Linked DNA regions of Notamacropus eugenii. The protein of the gene in region 1 interacts with the protein of each later gene in a pairwise test. Links are inferred from orthologs where the notes say so. Each region holds a gene or a part of one and is shown in the gene's direction. Other genes may lie near its edges.

Region 1 (10,030 bases):
TGGTAGCACTTATACTAAAATTGGAACGATACAGAGATAAGCATGGCCTCTATACAAGGATGACATGTAAATTTATGAAGCCTTCTATGTTAAAAAAAAAAAGCAATAGGGAAGTTTGAAAGAGGATAGATAGGGTTTGGAGGAAAAGCTAAGGAGTTCAGTTTTGGACACTTTGAGTTTGAGATATTGGATTGGATATCCAGTTCAAGATGTTCAAAAGGCAGTTAATGATGGGAACCTGGAGTTCAGAAGAGAAATTAGGGCTAGATATATAGAGGTAGGAATCCTCTACATTGTCAAGATTTTAAGAGACACTCTATTTTCCAGAGCTAAGGCCCAGAAAGCAGGCTGTGCCCTGAGCTTGGCATAGCAACAATCCTTTGTGCTCACTCTCTGGATGATCCCACCCTCTGGCAAAATGTATTGTTTTGACCAGCACCAGGAATCCATTGAAGAATTTATGATTTTCATATTAATCAATATCAATCACCTCCCCTGACACTTTAACAATTCCTGTGCTTATGTAACCACTGAGTGAACCGAACCAGATGCTGAACTCCTGTTCCTGCCATGTTAACTCTGGTTCTATACCCCACTGAGTGATCACAAAGCTCAACAACTCCAATAATTTGGGAACTGTTTACGTAGGACCCAAGAACTCCTGTATTGTCCCAAGAAATGCCAACTGTGGAAACTGTTTACTCAAGACATAAGAATAACTGTGTTGTGATTCTACTATAAAGTCATAAGTCCTCCTCAGGAGGACATTGGTTTGCAAACCTGATTTTCTCACTTTGAAATTAAACCATTATTTGAATCCTGACTCACCTGCTTCTGGCCTGCTTTGTTTAGCTCCAGCCACTCACAGGTTAGAGATGGGTCCAGTTCAGATTACATAATCACTTCTGTGACTTAGGCAGACTCTAGGTTTTCAGTCTCTCCCTACCTAACCAGTCTGGTGGTACACCACTCAAATCTAACCTCAGTGTCACTTCTAGGAACTAGGATAAGGTTTAGTGCCACTTCTAGCCCTCAGAGGTCCTGGGGTTACTCCTTTGCATCCCCAAAGCCCTTTTTTAACCAAGGGCTACCAGTGTTCCTATTGCGGAGAGCCATGTTTCCTCCCAGATGCCTTTTAAAAAGAGATCCCGGCTCCGAACCCACAACCCATAGAACGGTTACAGGGAAGTAACTCACGGCGAATTCTGCACCCAGAGGCCACAGAATATTGGAGCGAGGGAGATTTCTGTTCCGGAGAGACCTGCAAACCTCTCGCGGGGGGTCCTTCGCGCTGTGGACTGGGTGCCGGGACTGGGAGCTGAGGGCAGCCCTGCAGCGGCCGCGACACCATGAAGAAAAGATCCGAGCAGGCTACGGGGACGGGCTCTCCAGCGGCCACACAAGTCCCTCCACCCACAGGTGACGGGGGTCAGTGAGAGAGTCTCTTTGGCGGGTCGAGAGGGGAGTGGGGTGCCACCATGACTCGGGCCCCCCCGGGAGGTAGAAGCTGAGAGGCGGCTGCAGACCAGGGCTCCCCAAGCAGGCGGGAGCCTGGATCCATTGTAGAATGTCTGTGCATAAACCCCCTGAGGGAACTGAGCCTGAGAGGCGGCCCTGCCCCGACCTGACCACCTGAACTTCATCTCACACTGAACAGCAGCCCTGCCCCCGCCAAAAGCCCTAAGGCTGGAAGCAGCATTTGAATCTCAGTCCCCAAACGCTGGCTGGGAGGACCAGGAGGCGAGGTGGGTGTGAGGAGAATATTCAGAGGTCAAGTCACTGGCTGGGAAAATGCCCAGAAAAGGGAAAAGAAATAAGACTATTGAAGGCTACTTTCTTGGAGAACAGGCATTTCCTCCCTTCCTCTCTGATGAGGAAGAACAATGCTTACCATCAGGCAAAGACACAGAAATCAAGGCTTCTGTGTCCCAGCCCACCCAATGGGCTCAGGCCATGGAAGAGCTCAAAAAGAATTTTGAAAACCAAGTTAGAGAGGTGGAGGAAAAGCTGGGAAGAGAAATGAGAGACATGAAGTCAAAGCATGAACAGCAGATCAGCTCCCTGTTAAAGGAGACCCAAAAAAATGTTGAAGAAAATAACACCTTGAAAACTAGCCTAACTCAATTGGCAAAAGAGGTTCAAAAAGCCAATGAGGAGAAGAATGCTTTCAAAAGCAGAATTAGCCAAATGGAAAAGGAGATTCAAAAGCTCACTGAAGAAAATAGTTCTTTCAAAATTAGAATGGCACAGATGGAGGCTAATGACTTTATGAGAAAGCAAGATATCACAGAACAAAGAGAGAAGAATGGAAAAATGGAAGATAATGTGAAATATCTCATTGGAAAAACAACTGACCTGGAAAATAGATCCAGGAGAGACAATTTAAAAATTATGGGACTACCTGAAAGCCATGATCAAAAGAAGAGCCTAGACATCATCTTTCATGAAATTATCAAGGAAAACTTCCCTGAGATTCTAGAACCAGAGGGCAAAATAAATATTCAAGGAATCCACAGAACACCGCCTGAAAGAGATCCAAAAAGAGAAACTTCTAGGAACATTGTGGCCAAATTCCAGAGTTCCCAGGTCGAGGAGAAAATATTGCAAGCAGCTAGAAAGAAACAATTCAAGTATTGTGGAAATACAATCAGGATAACACAAGATCTAGCAGCCTCTACATTAAGGGATCGAAGGGCATGGAATAGGATATTCCAGAAGTCAAAGGAATTAGGACTAAAACCAAGAATCACCTACCCAGCAAAACTGAGTATAATACTTCAGGGGAAAAATTGGTCTTTCAATGAAATAGAGGATTTTCAAGCATTCTTGATGAAAAGACCAGAGCTGAAAAGAAAATTTGACTTTCAAACACAAGAATGAAGAGAACCATGAAAAGGTGAACAGCAAAGAGAAGTCATAAGGGACTTACTAAAGTTGAACTGTTTACATTCCTACATGGAAAGACAATATTTGTAACTCTTGAAACATTTCAGTATCTGGGTACTGGGTGGGATCACACACACACACACACATGCACACATACATAGAGACAGAGTGCACAGAGTGAATTGAAGAGGATGGGATCATATCTTAAAAAAAAATGAAATCAAGCAGTGAGAGAGAAATATATTGGGAGGAGAAAAGGAGGAATTGAATGGGGCAAATTATCTCTCATAAAAGAGGCAAGCAAAAGACTCATTAGTGGAGGGATAAAGAGGGGAGGTGAGAGAAAAACATGAAGTCTACTCTCATCACATTCCACTAAAGGAAAGAATAAAATGCACACTCATTTTGGTAGGAAAACCTATCTCACAATACAGGAAAGTGGGGGACAAGGGGACAAGCAGGGTGGGGGGGATGATAGAAGGGAGGGCATGGGGAGGAGAGTGCAATTCGAGGTTGACACTCATGGGGAGGGATAGGATCAAAAGAGAATAGAAGTAATGGGGGACAGGATAGGATGGAGGGCAATATAGTTAGTCCTATACAACACAACTATTATGGAAGTCATTTGCAAAACTACACAGATTTGGCCTATATTGAATTGCTTGCCTTCCAAAGGGAAGGGGTGGAGAGGGAGGGAGGTAAAGAAGTAGGAACTCAAAGTGTTAGGATCAACTGTCGAGTAATGTTCTTGCCATTAGGAAATAAGAAATACAGGTAAAGGGGTATAGAAAGCTATCTGGCCCTACAGGACAAAAGAGAAGACGGAGACAAGGGCAGAGAGGGATGATAGAAGAGAGAGCAGATTGGTCATAGAGGCAATTAGAATGCTTGGTGTTTGGGGGGGGGGGGATAAAAGGGGACAAAATTTGTAACCCAAAATTTTGTGAAAATGAATGTTAAAAGTTAAATAAATAAATTTAATTAAAAAAAAAAGGGATCCCCCCCAAGAAAGGATCCCAGATCCCTTTTAATCTGAATGATTAGGGCAGCTACAAGAGAAGCCCCTTGCTTTTGGTTCCTTGGGATTTATTCCTCTTGGCCAGCCCTAGAAATCAAGACAAATCAGCCCTAGAAATCAAGACAAATCAGCCCCTGCTAATGACTAATGACTTCTAGTGGGAGTTGTAGTCCATAGACTCTGTCAGTCAGGCTTACTCAGCCTATCCTTCAATTAATCATCCTCAGCTAGTATTATCCTGCTAGTCTTCTGTTTCTCCTACAAGAGCAATTCACAGGACACTCAAGAGCTAATGGCATAGGTCACCAGTGGACGGGCCCAGATCTGGTGTCATTTGTCTCAGGACAGTGCTGATGACAGTGAGCAGACACAATGGTCAGCTTTCACCCAAGTGGGCAAGATCAGTCCTCACCTTGGTGAAATTTTGGGCTCCCCAAAGCATGGAAATACTAGTGTACACATCAAGATATCCACTCCAACCACTAGCCAGTCCTGGGAAAGTCCAGAATTGTTTTTGCTTAAGTTAGCTAGTAGTCACAGGGCAGCCCCAGAGCAAATGAAAAGCATGAACGGTGTGGGGGCAGGCTGAGCAGGGCAGACAACTACTTCTTTACCCCAGAGGGTGATATTGCTGTGACCAGTTACTTTCATTCTCTTATACTTTTAGAGTTTTAAACATCACAATTGGGTGATGGGGTGGGAGAGTGTGAAAAAGGAGACTGGCCTGGCCTGTGTTTATTGTACATAGCACATAGTGGAGGTCCAAGACATGGCTTTTCAGGGCCTCTTCATTTTACATATGCATATATGTTTTGCATGACTACCCATATATAACCTATATGGACTTGCTTGCCTTCTCAAAGAGGAGGGCTGGGGAGGCAGGAAGGGAGAGAAATTGAAATTAAAGTTTTAAAAACAAATGTTAAAAAATTGCTGTTCACATGTAACTGGGGAAAAATTAGATACTAAAATACAAAAAAAAAATCAAACACCAAAGCTCATTATATATTAACTTATTTTATCCTTCCAACAACCTTGCAAGACTGTCACTATTATCCTCATTTTACAGAGGAGGAAACTGAGGCTGTAAAAAGTTAAGTGACTTGCCCAGGGTGGTACAGCTAATGAGTGTCAGAGGCTGAATTAGAATAACTCATCTTCCTAACTTTCAGTCTAGGACTCCAGTCACTGAGAAGTTATAGTAGCCTCAGATATTGTCTGAAGCCCTGGGTTCTGCCCAAGAAAGGGGGACTCTATCCCAAAGGGGTGACTGCTCCCCAGGGAGCTGCTTAAGACAACCTCGCTCTCTGCCCTGCCCCGCCCCACGGGTCCACTAGGACCACTTCAAACTTTACGCAGCCCCCAAATGGACAAGTGGAATCTCCCTTGCTTTGCCCCTCCCCCAGGAGGCTGAGGGGGACTGCTCAACATGCCCCGCCCCCATAGGTTAATTGGTACCGCCCCCCTCGTGGTCCCTCTACACAGGGCACCTCCATAATATCCCCTCACTAAATGGCTGTTTGGGACACCCCATCATGTCTCCCCACAGGATTAAATAGTACTGCCCCCCATCGTGCCCCGCTTCCACTAAGCTGCAGAGCTCTCCTCCGACATGCCCCGCCCCCACAAACTATTTGGACCGCCCCCATTCGGCCCCGCCCCCATGTTATCGATACCGCCCCTATTGTACCCTTTCCCCCGAGGGCTGTTGGGAGACCCCCTATTTTGTGCCTCCACAGGTTAAATGTTACTGCCCCCGTTATGTCCCGCCCCCACAAGGCTGCTGGGATGGCTCCCATTTTGTCCCCACACTGGAGTAAATGGTATCGCCCCCGTTATGTCCCGCCCCCAAAAGGCTGCTGGGACTGCTCCCATAGGTTATTGAGGACCCCCACCACCGTGTTCCGCTCCTATAGGATAATTAGGACCACCTCCATCGGCCCGTGCCCCCCCCCCGCTCCCGCAAGGTTATTGGGACCGCCTCCATTGCACCCCTTCTCTAAAGGGCAGTTGAGCTGTCCCTATTATGCCCCATCAGGGTGGAGACCGCTTCTACTTTCCCCTCCCCCACGAGATAGCTCGTTCCCGCCTCATTGTGACTCCGCCCCCCTAGAGGGTTGCTGGGACCGCCTTCCTCCCAGCCCCGCCCCAGAAAAATCTCCTCAGCATCTCAGCGCCACGGCACCTGGGCAAACGACGCCTCAAGATGTTCCGCTGGCCTTTCAAGGGCCCAAACACCCCTACATCCCCAATGTCAGGCCCCGGCGACTCACATCAGAGGGGGAACCCGTTCCGTAAGTACAGCGGTACCGGGTAACCTTCATCACATTTTTCACTAGCACAGAATCGGGAGGTGGGAGGGCAGGCTCACGCGGGCTCCCTTCCCCCCCTTTTTTTCTTTTCTTTTCTTTTTTTCTCTTTTCTTTTTCTTTTTTTTACCTCGATCTCGAGGGTTTTTGTGGCGACAGCCTCAGCCCAGCCGGCTAACTCGTCGTCGCCATGCCCCCTCAGCCCCCCCTCAGCCGTTTCTCAGACTGCCAGCCCGCGCCTAGCCCAAAGGCCCTGACCGTTACCACTTTTCGGACCGTAAGAAATAGGGGGACGGATCGCCATTACCTGCCACGTGCGGTCTGTGTGAATGTCTTCCTCAGCTTTTTTCTGGAGGTTCCCTCCTTTAAGTCGGTTAGTGAGACTCGGTGGAAATTCTAATTTGTCCTCAAGCAAAAAAGAAGTCCGAGAGCTCAGCTTCTTTCTGTTGTCATGGCAACTACTGGCCTCTTTTCTCCCTCGTACCCGCTAACTTTTTGCACCAATTAGAAGAGCCTACCCTCTAGAGCGATGCAAGAAGCAGCCCATAGGACGTCCGGACCAATGGGAAACCTTCCCCCCTCCACCCCTCCAGTTCGCTGCCTCTGCTACAGGCAGCACCGCTTCCCTCCTAACCGACGCAAGACGCTGGCACGCTGTTGCGCAGGCGCACCTGGTTTGAACTTCACTTCCGGGCCGGGAGCGGGAGCGGCAGCCATTGTGGTGAGTTCGTATCGGCTTGGGGTTCTTTTACCTTTACTTTTCTGTTATTTTCCAACGGGAGTTGACAGATTTCCTTTCCCTGTACCTGGGTACTTCTGCCCACGCCCGAAGGCTGCATTAACTGCAAACAAAGCATTCTGGTTGTGAGCCGAAAGGCCGGGCACAGGGACCTTAGCGGAGCACCTGGGGGCTGCTTTTGTCGCCACCCGGCTTCTCTTTCTCCACGTGTCTGAGTCTCCTTCCTCAGTACAAGGAGTGGCGGGGGTCCTGCTTAGGAGGCGCCCTCTCTGACCCCTTTTTGTATCTTTGGACGAAAAAGACCAGCTCGTGGAGATAAAGTGTAGCCCTGCAGCACGCTGTCACTAAAGCAAAGTCTCACGAGCCTAAAGTTCCAAGTTTCCCGCCTTTTTATACTTCACTATGGCAGCTCTGTCCTTTCGCCTCTGAAATATCTTTGCTTGTTCTGTGCTTTTGGTACTTGGGGACTATTTTCTGATAAATACATAGAGAAATAGCGTTGACTTTCATTTTCTTGCGTGTCTGCGATTTGCTGAGGTGATTTTTTTTGCATTGTGTTTGTCAGTGACTTATCAGTAATAGTTGCTATTTAGAGTTTGCCTAAGTTTCGCACTGGAGTTCCTTAACCCATGTGGCAATCAATATTTAATACCTTTTATGAGTGTATATAGTAAGATCAACATGTATATTTTATTTGTAGACCAGCTGAGTTTCTTTTCTGCTGCCCACGCTGCCTACTTTTTCTCGTGTTAAGTGCCTTCCTTAATGGGGAAAGGGAAAGTCATCAGCATTTAAGGTTTTACCTTAGTAGTCTGGTACAGTGCTAAGAAGCTGAACCTCTCCGGAGTAATTCAGCCTTCATCAACCATAATAAAAAGTTTGCTGGAGCAGGAGGCCATTGAAGCTATTGGGGAAAATAGAAATTTTTTTTTTCTCAAAATTTCTTCTATGAGCTATTATCATAGAGAGGAAGTTTGGCATAGTGGATAGAAAGCTGGCTTCGCAGCTAGGGAGACCTGAGTTGAAATTCTTCCTCTGACACTTACTGGATGTATGACCTAACTTCTCAGCCCTCGGAGCTCTCTTGCTCTTAAGTTCTATAGAGCCCTGGGAGTTCCCGGCTCAAAATTCTTATCATAATAATAGTAAAATGTCTAAAGTTCTAATACAGTAAATATTCATAGATATACCCCAGGTAAATAAAAGCTCTTTGGGTGAGTCTTCAATAATTTTTAAGAGTTGTAAAGAGGCCCTGAGACCCTTTCGTTTGAGATTCGCTTCTCCAAGCAGTTTCTCTAGGACTCTTTAAGTTACAAAGAATGTGCCCACCAGCCATTTGTAGAGGGAGTTTACTCACCGAGTTCCCCAGTAATAGTGAAATCACGGGTTACAACCCCATCCCTACCTATTACCTTGCATAATCTGCTCTTTGTTTCTGTAAATTGGTGAAGCTTGCAGAGAGTAATATATAAATAAAATCTGAATTAGCACTCCGCAACTCTTCTATTCTTCTGACTGACCAAAAATTATAGTACCTGGGCTAGTGAACTCACTATTTTGTGTAGTGCCATCCATCAGATGTGCGTCTCACACACTGAAGGATGATAACTCACATGTACATGGTACTTTAAGGTTTACAAAGCATTGTCCTTCCAATCCTATGAGGCTGTTGTTTATGGCTAACCCCACTTTACAGATGAGGAAGCTGACCATGGTCAGCTAGTAAGTGTGAGAACCATGTATTGGAACTTGGTTAATTTGACTCCTAGTCTTACACTCTTTCCACTATGCTTGCCTCTCATGATATTTGTGGATTCAAAATAACTGGATATGATTACATGATTGCCACTTTTTATCAGAAGACATAATATGTATTTCCCAGAAACAACCTGGCCAGTTTGCTCTGGTGAGACAGTCTTAAAGAAGAAAACAGGTGCCCCGCTCAAACCAAGCTACAGAACGGCACAGACCTTATTGAAAACACCCTGTGGATGCATTAGACTTACACAACTACATAAAATATGTTCCCTTTGGTGGTGTATCATTTGACATATAGCTGCAACTAACAGACCAGGTGTGAGTGGCCAAAAAGTATCTCTGATTTCAATGAACTTTGGTTCTAGATGCTATACCAGCTTGTCAGTTGTTGATTACTGTGTGACTGAGACCTGACATTGGTGCTGTTGCCTAGAGGATCTAGAAATGTATGTGTCTTTTTCCAAGATTATGGTACTTGATGACCTGGTGGTGTGCTGAGTTCTCCCAAGCTAATGCTTTGCTTGGAAACTCCCCTTGGAATGTAAGTTGCATGCCCATAGGAGGATTCCTATTTTACACATTTAAAAGTAGTCTGCTGTTCTTCAGCCTCAGCAGTTTGGAATTCTGGGTAGCTAGCTCAATAAAATTCTGTCTGTGTCTTGAAGGCAAGTCTGTTTGATACTTTGTTCCATCTAGCACATTCAGGTGAGCCCAAAACCAGCCTGGCTTTTTTTGGGGGGAGGGGGTAAGTTGGGTAGGATAGGGTGATAGGAAAGAGAACTTAGTGATTAAAATACAAAGAGAAATAAGAAGGGACAGAAGGGATGTGTTTCCTCTCTTCCTGAAGTTAGGTAGTTTTAGGGAAGTGAGTCTTTGGCAGGGCCTCTGTAAATGTACCTGGGAAGCATCAGTTAAGAAGAATGGCTTTACTGGGGGATGCAAAATGATCTGTCCTGGATGGTAATTTCAGATTGATTTCAGCTGCCAGTAGAGTTATCAGCTCCTTGAGGGCAAAGACTCTCTCTTCACACTTTCGTATTTATATAGTATTTGTAACCCCATTGCCTATGGCATAGTGTTAGAATTGAGTAGGTGCTTGTTAATTGATTGCTACAACTTTTCATATAAGTATTTAAAAACCACTAAACTTGATTGCCTACTGTTTGCTTGAATACCCAACTTCCTGTTGTGGAAACTTTGTCCTGGGGAGATTGCAGCCTTTTCTGTCTTCGCTTGTGAAATGCAGAAGTTAAGGGCTTTCCCAGGGGGTCAGACAGCCATTCAGAGTTGGATGTGGAAGTTGAACCCAGATCTTTAACA
Region 2 (9,957 bases), on another chromosome or scaffold:
TGGTAGCAAAGAGATTAAGGGAGGTCACTATGCCACCATTGGGTCCAAGTCCATATCTAGACACAAAGTTTAGGAATTCAAATGTTTACAAGCAATCTAATAGAGTTCATACCTAGTATACCACAGATGCGAACATCACTCTGATATCAAAGTTGAAGGAATTAGGCTTTGAAAAACTGCAAACCAAAACCTACTCACAAAAGTTCTATGTGACAATCAAAGGTACAAGGTTTTCTTTCAGTCTTCACTTCATAAAGGATAGGAGAAATGAAAGGATTTTTTCAAAAATCTTCCAAATTTTATAAATTCATTTTGTAATTTATTACAAATCTAGGTTTATTTCAAGGAGGTTGAAATCACTTAAGAAAGGTTTGTAGATCAGCTATAATATCCTTTCCAGATCCACTCTCCATTTTTCTCCTTTAAAAAATTAGTTACTTCACATGTCTGGGCTAGTATTTGTCATAAAATATGAACTACACTGCAAAATCGTCTAAGTTTATAAACATAGGAAAAAAAAGTTAGAAAACACTAACGCAGGTACAGAAAAGGATACTGTTTCATGACTTCCTTATACTTCACTGTGTCCCGAATATCTAAAAAAAATAATAATAATAATCAGACCAACACTTGGGAGACCTCAGAATAGCCCCACCATTTTAGAGCTCTAAAATGGTCTCAAAAGTGTTGTTCCCCCCTCCCCTTTTGTTTTGGTGAAGCAATCAGGGTTAAGTGACTTGCCCAGAGCTAGGATATGTCAAGTGTCTGGGGCTAGATTTGAACTCAGGTTCTCCTGATTCCAGGGCCAGTGTTCTATCCCCACCCACCATCCAGCTGCCCCTCTATTTCTTTTTAAAAGTGAAGAATTTCTTCCTCACCATCAGAATGTGTCCTTATGTCTGTCTCCAATATGTTCCACATCAGAAAGTAAGAATGTGGAAACAGAATGAGTAGAGAAATAGTGTTACATGAAGGAAGAACACAAAGGATAACTTTAGACTATTAATCCTTACTGACATTGTTCCCCTCTCCCCCAACAGGTACTAGCAGTCAGACTTCTAAGCTATTCTAGACAATTTTCTCTTGGACCAATTCATACTGGTTTTCCTTGGGTACAAAGACATAACCATCAAAGTAGTTCATACAGTAACTTGGAAGCTCACAGGACAGAGGAACTCCCAGCTACATGGCAGTGATGTTCCCATGGAATGATGGGCTAGAGTAGGGTTGGGAAACATACAAAATATACAAAAGTGCAAAAATGTACAAAATTTTTCTTTGGGGGCCATAATTCAAAGACACACCACCCAAATATGAACATGACACAGAAATAAGTTTTAAGTTTCCCACCTTCCCAACTACCTCTAAGTAATGAAGATATCAATTCAATTCAGCAACAATTTATTAAATGTATTGAGAATCAAAGATGAGTTTGTTCTTAAGGAGTTATAATCTATACACAAACACAGGCATGATAACTAGTCAAATGTAATATGACAAAGGAAATACAAGGAAGAGATAAAACTTTCAGATTGAGGGTGGGGAGAAGATCAAAGAAAAGGGCAAGACTTCTTGAAGAAGACAGCATGTTAACTTGGTCATGGCAGTCATGAAGTGCCCATGTGCCAGGCACTGTGCTAAGTACTAAGAGTACAAAAAGAGGCAAGAGACAATCCCTGCTCTCCAGGAGCTCATAACATAAGTGGGGAGGGGAGAAATCAAGAACTAGACTTTCCAACAGACACACCTCCTACCACAACATGAGCTAGATCCCACACAAAGCTGAAAGGAACCTCAAAACTCATCTAATGCTGAACTCCTGAACAAAAATCTTCTCAAAATCTCTGAGTGAATGGTCACATTGCCTTCACCTGCAAACCTACAGGTCCCAAAAAAGCCAGTCCCACTTCTGGACAAACTGATTGTTAGGTCATTTGTCCTTAAGAAACCTTAGAAGAACCAATCCCCTCATTTCACAGATGAAGAAACTGTGTCACAGAGAGTTCACATGATTCATCCATGGTCATACAGCTAGAAAGTACCTGAGGTAGGACTGAGAATTTTCTGACTCCAAGTCCAGTGCATTATCAACAATACTATATTGCCTCTAGGGTGTTACAGGGAAAGCTATTTGTAAACCTTAACACACTGGAACCTCCATTTTAAGGAAGTGTCCAGGCCAAGTATGTTCACTCCTTCATTCTTATCTAATCCTGACTCTCTAAAAATTTTTCTATACCATGCCCTCACTTTTCCTTTTCTCCTCACAACCCCTCAGTTTCTTTTTATATATTGTCTTTCCATGTTAGAATGTAAGCTCCTTGAATGCCTTCCATGGCTATCTTTCTTCCTGCCCATATTTGTATTCCTAGCACTAAGGCCTGTGCCTGGTACAAAGACAGTACTTAATAAATGCTTGCTAACTTAAATTGAATTACGTTAAGTCGAAAATTTATTTTTTTGAAACTTCCACTCATTGCTCTGTGGTGGAAAGGCAGCATGACATAATGGAAAAAACCTTCCACTTGAAGTCAAAAAGACCTGGGTTTGAACCAGGTTCTGATACTTCCTAGCTGTAACTCTGGGAAGGAATTTCTTTAAGCTTTATCTGTAAAATACACACAATACTTTTAATATGAACACAGTACAAGGGGCTCAAAGGATCGTACAGTTAGAACTGGAAGGGGCTTTAAGGACCATCAAGTTCAATCCTCTCATTTTACAGATGAAGGAACTGGGTCACAGGGAAGTTATTAAGTGATCTGCCCTGGGTCAGACAACTATAAAGTTATCTGAGACAGGATCTGAATCCAGGATTTCATGATTCCAAGTCATTGCTTTATCCACTATACCCTGTTGTCTCTGTAAGGAAAGTTGTATGTAAACTTTAACACACCAAATAAATCTGAGTTGTTATGTTACTGACTTCTAAGGTCTGATATTTCTTCCACATAACATCGTTTTCCCCTTACATACTCTTCTCCAAGCTAAACCTCTCTACTTTCTTTAAATGACCCACATTTAGTAAAGTCTCCAAAGTCCCCAACTCAGCCAGTTTGCCCTTCTCCAGATACACTCCACTCTATCAATGATCTTCTCAAAAGGTGTTAACTCTGAGCAGCTTACAATACAGTATGAGCCATTTTAAGCAGAATTAATAGAATTTATTAATGAACCTTTCACTAAGCATTTATTATAGAAGTACTTGAAAAAATAACTTTAAGGCATGATCCAGCTTAAAAAGTTTTTCTGAATTAAAATGCATATAAATTTGTACAATTAAGTATATTTTCAAGTAATTATGATCCCATTTTCACTTGGGCCTTATTTCGTGAGGAGTACTCTTTTAAGAAACAGTAGATTCATTTTAGTAGTCTGCCTCTGAAAATAGCTTAAAAGACACTAAGACTCAATAGATGTCAAGGAATAAACTGGAAGGGGCTATGGAATGGAATGGAGAACACAGAACAAGACAATAGAACCTAAATTCCTTAAGGACAGAGAATATTCTGGTTCTGTATCCCAAGGGCGCAGGAATAAGAATAGAAAAAGGGATTGGAACTGTGATGTCATTGGTATAGAGAATTCTCAGATGAGGAAATGAGTTGTATAAATGAAGGGTGGCACCTTGGCAACTAATTAGAGTTGCCAGGAGCACTGAATTTAGATCTTCCTAGTCAAGGGAGGTCTCCATCTACTTACTCCACTTTGCTTCTCCCCTAGCAAATCATTTACTTAACAAATAAATTTTGGACACAGAGAATGAAATAACTTTTCAGTCCAAGTCTTCAACACTGTTGCAAACTAAAATTAGTATCTTGGCTTAATGATTGCCTTCCAATTTATAGCCATCTCATGACCAAAGACAACATAATTCAAGGTTACCCAAAAAGGTGAGAAATAGAATAAAACTATGGCTTGGGAATTAGGAAGCCCTAAAATACAAGAAGCCTAAGTGACACTAGGAGTCAATAACTTAGGGTCACAGATTTAAAGGAGAATTTCTTTTCCAATTTTTTCATTGTCTAGAAAAAGATGAAGTTCTTTAAATGGGAACAAGTGAACTGCGCAAAAATGGAAGGAGGTCCTATGGACAGGGGCAGATTCAGGATCACAGGCAGCCTTCATGATTGAACTCCTCAGGGATGTTAGAGTTGGCACTTAGGCTTTCCACGTAGACTGAATGTCACTTAGTTGTCAGATGTTGATCCATTGGTAGATTGTAAGACTGGATCAATCAATATGCATTAAGCATTTCCACTCATAAAATAAAGCAGTAATTGCCCTCAAGGTGCTATAAAGTACCCCAGGTTTCTTGGGACTCTAAGAACAGTCTGAGCCTCTTAGAACATCTCAGTGTCTACTGTTGAGTTAAATGTCTTCCTCAGTTCCAAATTTATCCCATACATAGCTTATTTATACATAGCTTTTTTTCAAGTCTGCCCTCTTAGACAGTGGGCTCCTCTTGAGTAGGAGCATTGATCGTTTTTTAAATGTCTTTTACCTTTTTTTCTTGTATCCCCAGCACTTGGCACGGTGCCTGTCACATAGACGGCACTTAAATGCTTACTGACTGACTGTTGCAAAGCGGACCTTTTGTCCCTTCAGTTTCCCAAATCTTAGTAAATGACGTCATAACATCCCCAGCTGAGCGAACAGGGCAGCCGGACAAGAGGAAGAGGGGGAGGCCGGGAGGGACCGCGCCAGGTTGGGACGCTGGGGCGGTGTAAGAGTGGTCGAAGAGCCCACAGGCCCGGCTCGACCCGCAACTTCTTAGGGCTCCTCCACACGTCGGGCCCACGCTCGCGCCGACTCACCGATGTTGGCTGGGAAGGGGACCTCGTGCACCGCAGGGTCCAGGTTGATCACGTAGGGCGGCGAGCCCAGGCCGTGAAGGTATCCCGTGAGCCTCTGCGGGAGACAAGGCGAAGGTGAAGGTGCTCCCGCCATCCCACCACCGCTACCCCGGGCAGCCGCGGCCAGGGCCCCTCCAGCAAGAGCCTCTCCCCACCTCACCTGTACGAATGTCGTCTTCCCAGACCCCGCCATCCCCAGCACCAGGAGACACACTGGAGGCCGAGGCCGGGGCTGGGGGCCCTCTGCCTCCGGAGCCGCCGCTCCCGCAGAAGAATCCATCTTGCCAGTGTGTACGGCAGCGCCTGCGCAGAGCGATGCTGGAAATGAGACTGAGTAGCAGTCCGACGGCAAGCGGGCAAAACGGAGCGGAATCAGAGTTTAGGTCGGATCTGGAGACAGGGCCAGGGACCCAGGAGGAGGAGGCAGGGTCAAGGGCGGAACCTGCCGTGGAAATTGAGAGTAGGGCGGAATCGAAGGCGGGGCCAAGGGCGGAACCTGCCGCGGAAATTGAGAGTAGGGCGGAATCGAAGGCGGGGCCAAGGGCGGGGCCAAAGGCAAGGCCTGCACTGAGATTTGAGAGTAGGGCTGAATCGAAGGCGGGGCCAAGGGCGGAACCTGCCGTGGAAATTGAGAATAGGGCGGAATCGAAGGCGGGGACAAGGGCGGGGCCAAAGGCAGGGCTTGCACTGAGATTTGAGAGTAGGGCGGAATCGAAGGCGGGTCCAAGGGCGGGGCCAAAGGCAGGGCCTGCACTGGGATTTGAGAGTAGGGCGGAATCGAAGGCGGGGCCAAGGGCGGGGCCAAAGGCAGGGCCTGCACTGGGATTTGAGAGTAGAGTAGAATCAGAGGCGGGGGCAGAAGAGGGGGCGGAGCCTGCACAGGGACCTGAGACTGGGGTGGAATATGAAGAAGAATCCAATCACCTGGGTTCCGTCGCTGGTCCCAGGACTGGTTTTGAAGACGTTCTGAGGCTCGAATGGATCAAGGATATTCCAGAGCGGGTGCAAAAAGAAAGCACAGGTGAAGAAGTGGTGAGGAGAGCGGGCGACAAAAATGGCGAAAAGTTGGGTTCGACTCAACTGGGGAAGGACTGGGAAGTGGACGAGAATTCTAAGTCCTCCAGAGAAGAAAGTGTTCGGGAAGAGAGCGACGACACCCTGAGCTCCGAGGCTCAGCCTGCCACAGGCAGGAAAGAAGTGGGCAAAGGCGACTACTGTGTCCTCTGTACGGTGCCCAAGACCCCAGACCAGGACAAGAGCTCTCGGTCCTCTGGCCCTGGGAAAACTCAGAAGTGGTCACCGGACGTCAATCTTCCTGTAGGGTTGTACGTCGACACTTGTTGGGTTCCCAGAAGCTTCCACAGGGAGGAACTCATGAGACTCAATCTTTCGCGTGGAGTTCCTTCCCTGGCCTCCACCCCCGCTACCCTTGTGCACCGTGTCCAGCAGTTTTGGGATCAGCAACATTTGAGTACTCGTAACAGGTGAGCTCAAAAAGGGTCGGAGGGAGCAAAGGAGGAAAACCTCTCCAAAGCAGAGACCCATGGGGGGAAAGGGTTAGCTTAGCAAGAGATGGCAAAGGATAAACAGCTAAAAAAAAAAAAAAAAAGATTCTCCCAACTTTTCTCCCAGTTCTTGTACTGCACTGGACAGAGCATCTACCTCAGGTAAGGAGTTGGAAGGAACCTCAGAGACTTTCTTGAGCAACCCACATGTGAGACAAAAACCCCCTCCACAACATGCCCCGAAATAGCCTTTGCTAGAGGACTTCCAGAGAAAGGGAATCTTCCAGTCAATCAACAAACATTTAGTAAGCACCTACCAGGCACTGTACTAGGATCTGGGGACAGAAATGCAAATAAGGTTTTAAAAACTCCTTTTGACTTTATATTTCCTTGTCAGCCTCAGAACATCCAGAGTTTTGCCATTACTGAATCTATTGTTACAAAACAGTGGCATGCTTTTGTACACCTCTTCTGTAATCTGCCCTACCTCCTTGGATTTTGTCTATACCCAGAGGTCAAAAGCTGTGATAGATCCTACCAAGCTGGAAAGAGTAGATTAGTTGGGAAATATTGTCACCCTAGGACCAGCCTAGCTAAGATCAAAAAAGCTTCATTACTTAGAGTTTGGCTACTGAATAATAAATTTTTTGACCACAGAAATTCATAAAGTGATTTATAAAGGCACATTAGGAGTTGCAGTCTGTCAATAAGAGGAGAACATACAATGAAATCATATGTCTTTTGAACATAACAGCTCACACTGTCCTTTGAATTTTTGAGAGTTGCTTAGGAGAGGTGAAAGAGTTGGTGGCTTGAGCCAATGAAGGATGACACACTGAGTGTCATGAAAGATAAGTGACATCAAGGTAATAATAATAGCTCACAAATAATCATAAAGGTATAATGGAGAAATAACATATTTCTGGCTGCTTTTCCCCCAGATTTTTTCGGGGTCCCAGAATGATATGGCAGAATCTGAATCTGAATCGTAATATTGCTTTGCTAATGGGTAGCAAAAAGCTACAGCAGTTTTTAAAGTCACAGGAGGAGTTGGAGAAAAGGGTGCAGAAAGAGCTGGCAATAAAGGCACAGGTAGAGGAGAAAATGATCCAGCTGAATGGGGAACTGATGCAAACACGAGCCCGGAGGAGGCAGCTCATAGATGATCATTGCCACATGCAAGCTGAAATCCAACCATTCTTAGGTGACAGCCCTGTCCTAATGGGATATGTACCTGATCCAACCAAGAAAAAACAGGTAGCACCAATTAAGGTATGGGATCAACAGACACAACAGTTGGAGCAGATACAATGTCAAAGGCAGGAGCTGGTCTCCAGTTATGAGTCCCATATATCATCACTCCGGGAAGAGCTGCTGCGACAAGAAGAGACCCAAGCCCAACTGAAAAAGAAGATTCAAGCATTAAATGCTAGGAGGACAATAAAGATTACCCAGGAGGAGCTTATCAAATCACTGCAAATGGAAAAACCAAGAGTCCAGAAGGAGGCCAAAGCACACCTTCATAGTGTACAAGGTGATCTGGTTAAAGAGTGGAGAGCACTGAAGCATCAGCTATCTGATGTAGAGCTTTTGCTGGGGAAAAGTATGATGGGAAAGCACAACCATATCCTGGAACATGCAGCAGACAAATCTATCCTTGATTTCACCTGGCAACTGCAAAATGAGAATGAACAATTGCATAAGGAAATGGTACGGCTTATTCAAGAAGCCCAGCAGCTAGAGGCCCAGCGGACCAGGCTTCGAAAGCAGAAGCAGCAACTACAGCTAGAGCAGTGTTGCCTGGAGAGCATCAAAGAAGGGAGACGGCGTCAACTACTAAGAGCTGTTCCCTGTCAGAAAGGACAAAGCAGTTCAAAGACCACGCTGGCCCCTCTCCCAGGTACCAAACCAAGGATGAATTCATCCTAATTAGTGAGAATATTTATTATACATCCACCTAAGCAGATTTTGTTAGTTGCTGTACAAAGTAACTTAAGTGATCTCTGCCTCTAGGATCTTGTAATTTTAAATGGAAAAAAAATGAAATGAATATGAAATAGAAGGCTATCAGTCAGACTGTAGAAAGAGGGATGAAACACAACAGTAGAAAAGTTCATATTTAAAAACCTATTTCTGGTAAAAAAAAATCTATGGAAAATGACTTAAGATAATAGCTTATTGAAAGTATTAAAAGGAGAGTTAAGTTCACTTAGCACTTCTTCTGTAGTGCTGTTTAACATTTAATTCCTGGAATTATCTATACCTCCCTCACTCACTTCATCCTCCGATGATAAAACAGAATCCATCTCAGTATCTTCCAGCATCTCAACATTTAACTGACTGGCTTCCCTGGCTGCTTACCAGATATTCTCTATAGTGGACCGGAAAAGGAGCAAGTCAAGCTATGAATGTTTGCTTTCTTTGGGACTCAATGTTAACTTTCTTCAAAGGATAAACTCTTTTTGATGGCAACCATTTACATTGACTCTACAGTGGTAACACAGACATTCCAAAATCTCAGATTAGCAAATACAGGTAGGTCCCTTTTTGTTGCCTTGGTCTTTGCACCCATTTGTTTGAACCATTGCAACATAAACAGGGAGGTACAGGCCCCAGTCCAACTGCTATTGACAAATCTGAGACTTAAGGGTAGGGGAAAGAGATGTTAAAGTTGTGTGCCAAAGACCTAGTAATTGCCTTTTTGCTTTTGGTTTGTCTTGGTGTTCCAATGAAGCATGAAGTACTCTTGTAAATATGTCAAGGGGGCCCTGTAGTAGTGAAGGACAAGAAAGTGAGCTAATAGAATTCCCTATTTCCTGGTAGCATTGTTTTGATTTGATACTAAGTAGCTTATGTTTACTTCTGAATTTTACTGAGAATGGTAGAAGGCAAAAAGATATGTTAAGGATTAGGTTTTTTTAACAGCTTTGCAGTGGAAGAAATAATCATCATTGTAACACCCTAGTCAATGGAATGATTCAGGATACCTATTCTACAGGCACATTTGAAAGAAAAAGAAGCTTATTTCAGTTCAGATTTCTCTGGAACAACTTTTGAAAGAGAAAATCACCATCCAAATCATCCTTAACTCTTCACCCTTATGAATTCCAAGGTTATTATAAGATAAATTCTAGCCCAATATATTGGTATAGAATTATATTTTCACATGTCATATATACATTTATGTGTACTGAGGTCCTCATCTAGATATGTTTTAGATTGCATTCCTATTTTTTAGGACTAGGAGCATAGTTTTACTGTTTCAGATTAGAGTGGTTTTATAATAGTTATCTTTTCTTATTATATTTTCAGTCATATGTATTTACTGGTATAGAATTATATTTTCACATCATAAGTATATTTATAGTGTACTGGGGCCCTCATCTAGATGTTTTAGAACTCATTCCCATTTTTTGGAACTAAGAGCATAGTTATACTAATTCATATGATTATGGTTTTGTGGTAGTCATCTTTGTTCATAACATTTTCAGTCATATGTATTTATTGGTATGGAATTATATTTTCATGTCATATGCATATTTATAGTGTACTGGGGCCCTCATCTAGATGTTTTAGAATATATTCTCATTTTTTAG

Evidence for each region. The genes of interacting proteins can lie anywhere in the genome.
Region 2: the proteins of NUP62 (region 1) and CCDC121 interact in binary tests that used the Homo sapiens proteins (3 or more experiments, as listed by UniProt). The two-hybrid records come from large-scale screens. The link is inferred for Notamacropus eugenii from reciprocal best matches to the Homo sapiens genes NUP62 and CCDC121.

The regions. Positions count from the first base shown.
Region 1 is NC_092879.1:31,949,762-31,959,791, forward strand, and holds the start of NUP62 (nuclear pore glycoprotein p62), read left to right. Parts: upstream 1-5,996; 5' UTR 5,997-6,110; coding exon 6,111-6,198; intron 6,199-6,520; exon of another isoform or gene 6,521-6,656; intron 6,657-6,742; coding exon of another isoform or gene 6,743-6,806; coding exon 6,807-6,938; intron 6,939-10,030. UniProt on the Homo sapiens protein: Essential component of the nuclear pore complex. The N-terminal is probably involved in nucleocytoplasmic transport.
Region 2 is NC_092872.1:528,877,574-528,887,530, reverse strand, and holds the start of CCDC121 (coiled-coil domain-containing protein 121), read left to right. Parts: upstream 1-5,719; 5' UTR 5,720-6,428; coding exon 6,429-6,523; intron 6,524-7,302; coding exon 7,303-8,261; intron 8,262-9,957. Other genes in the region: GPN1 (GPN-loop GTPase 1), read right to left, coding at 1-56, 557-596, 4,818-4,911, 5,017-5,136.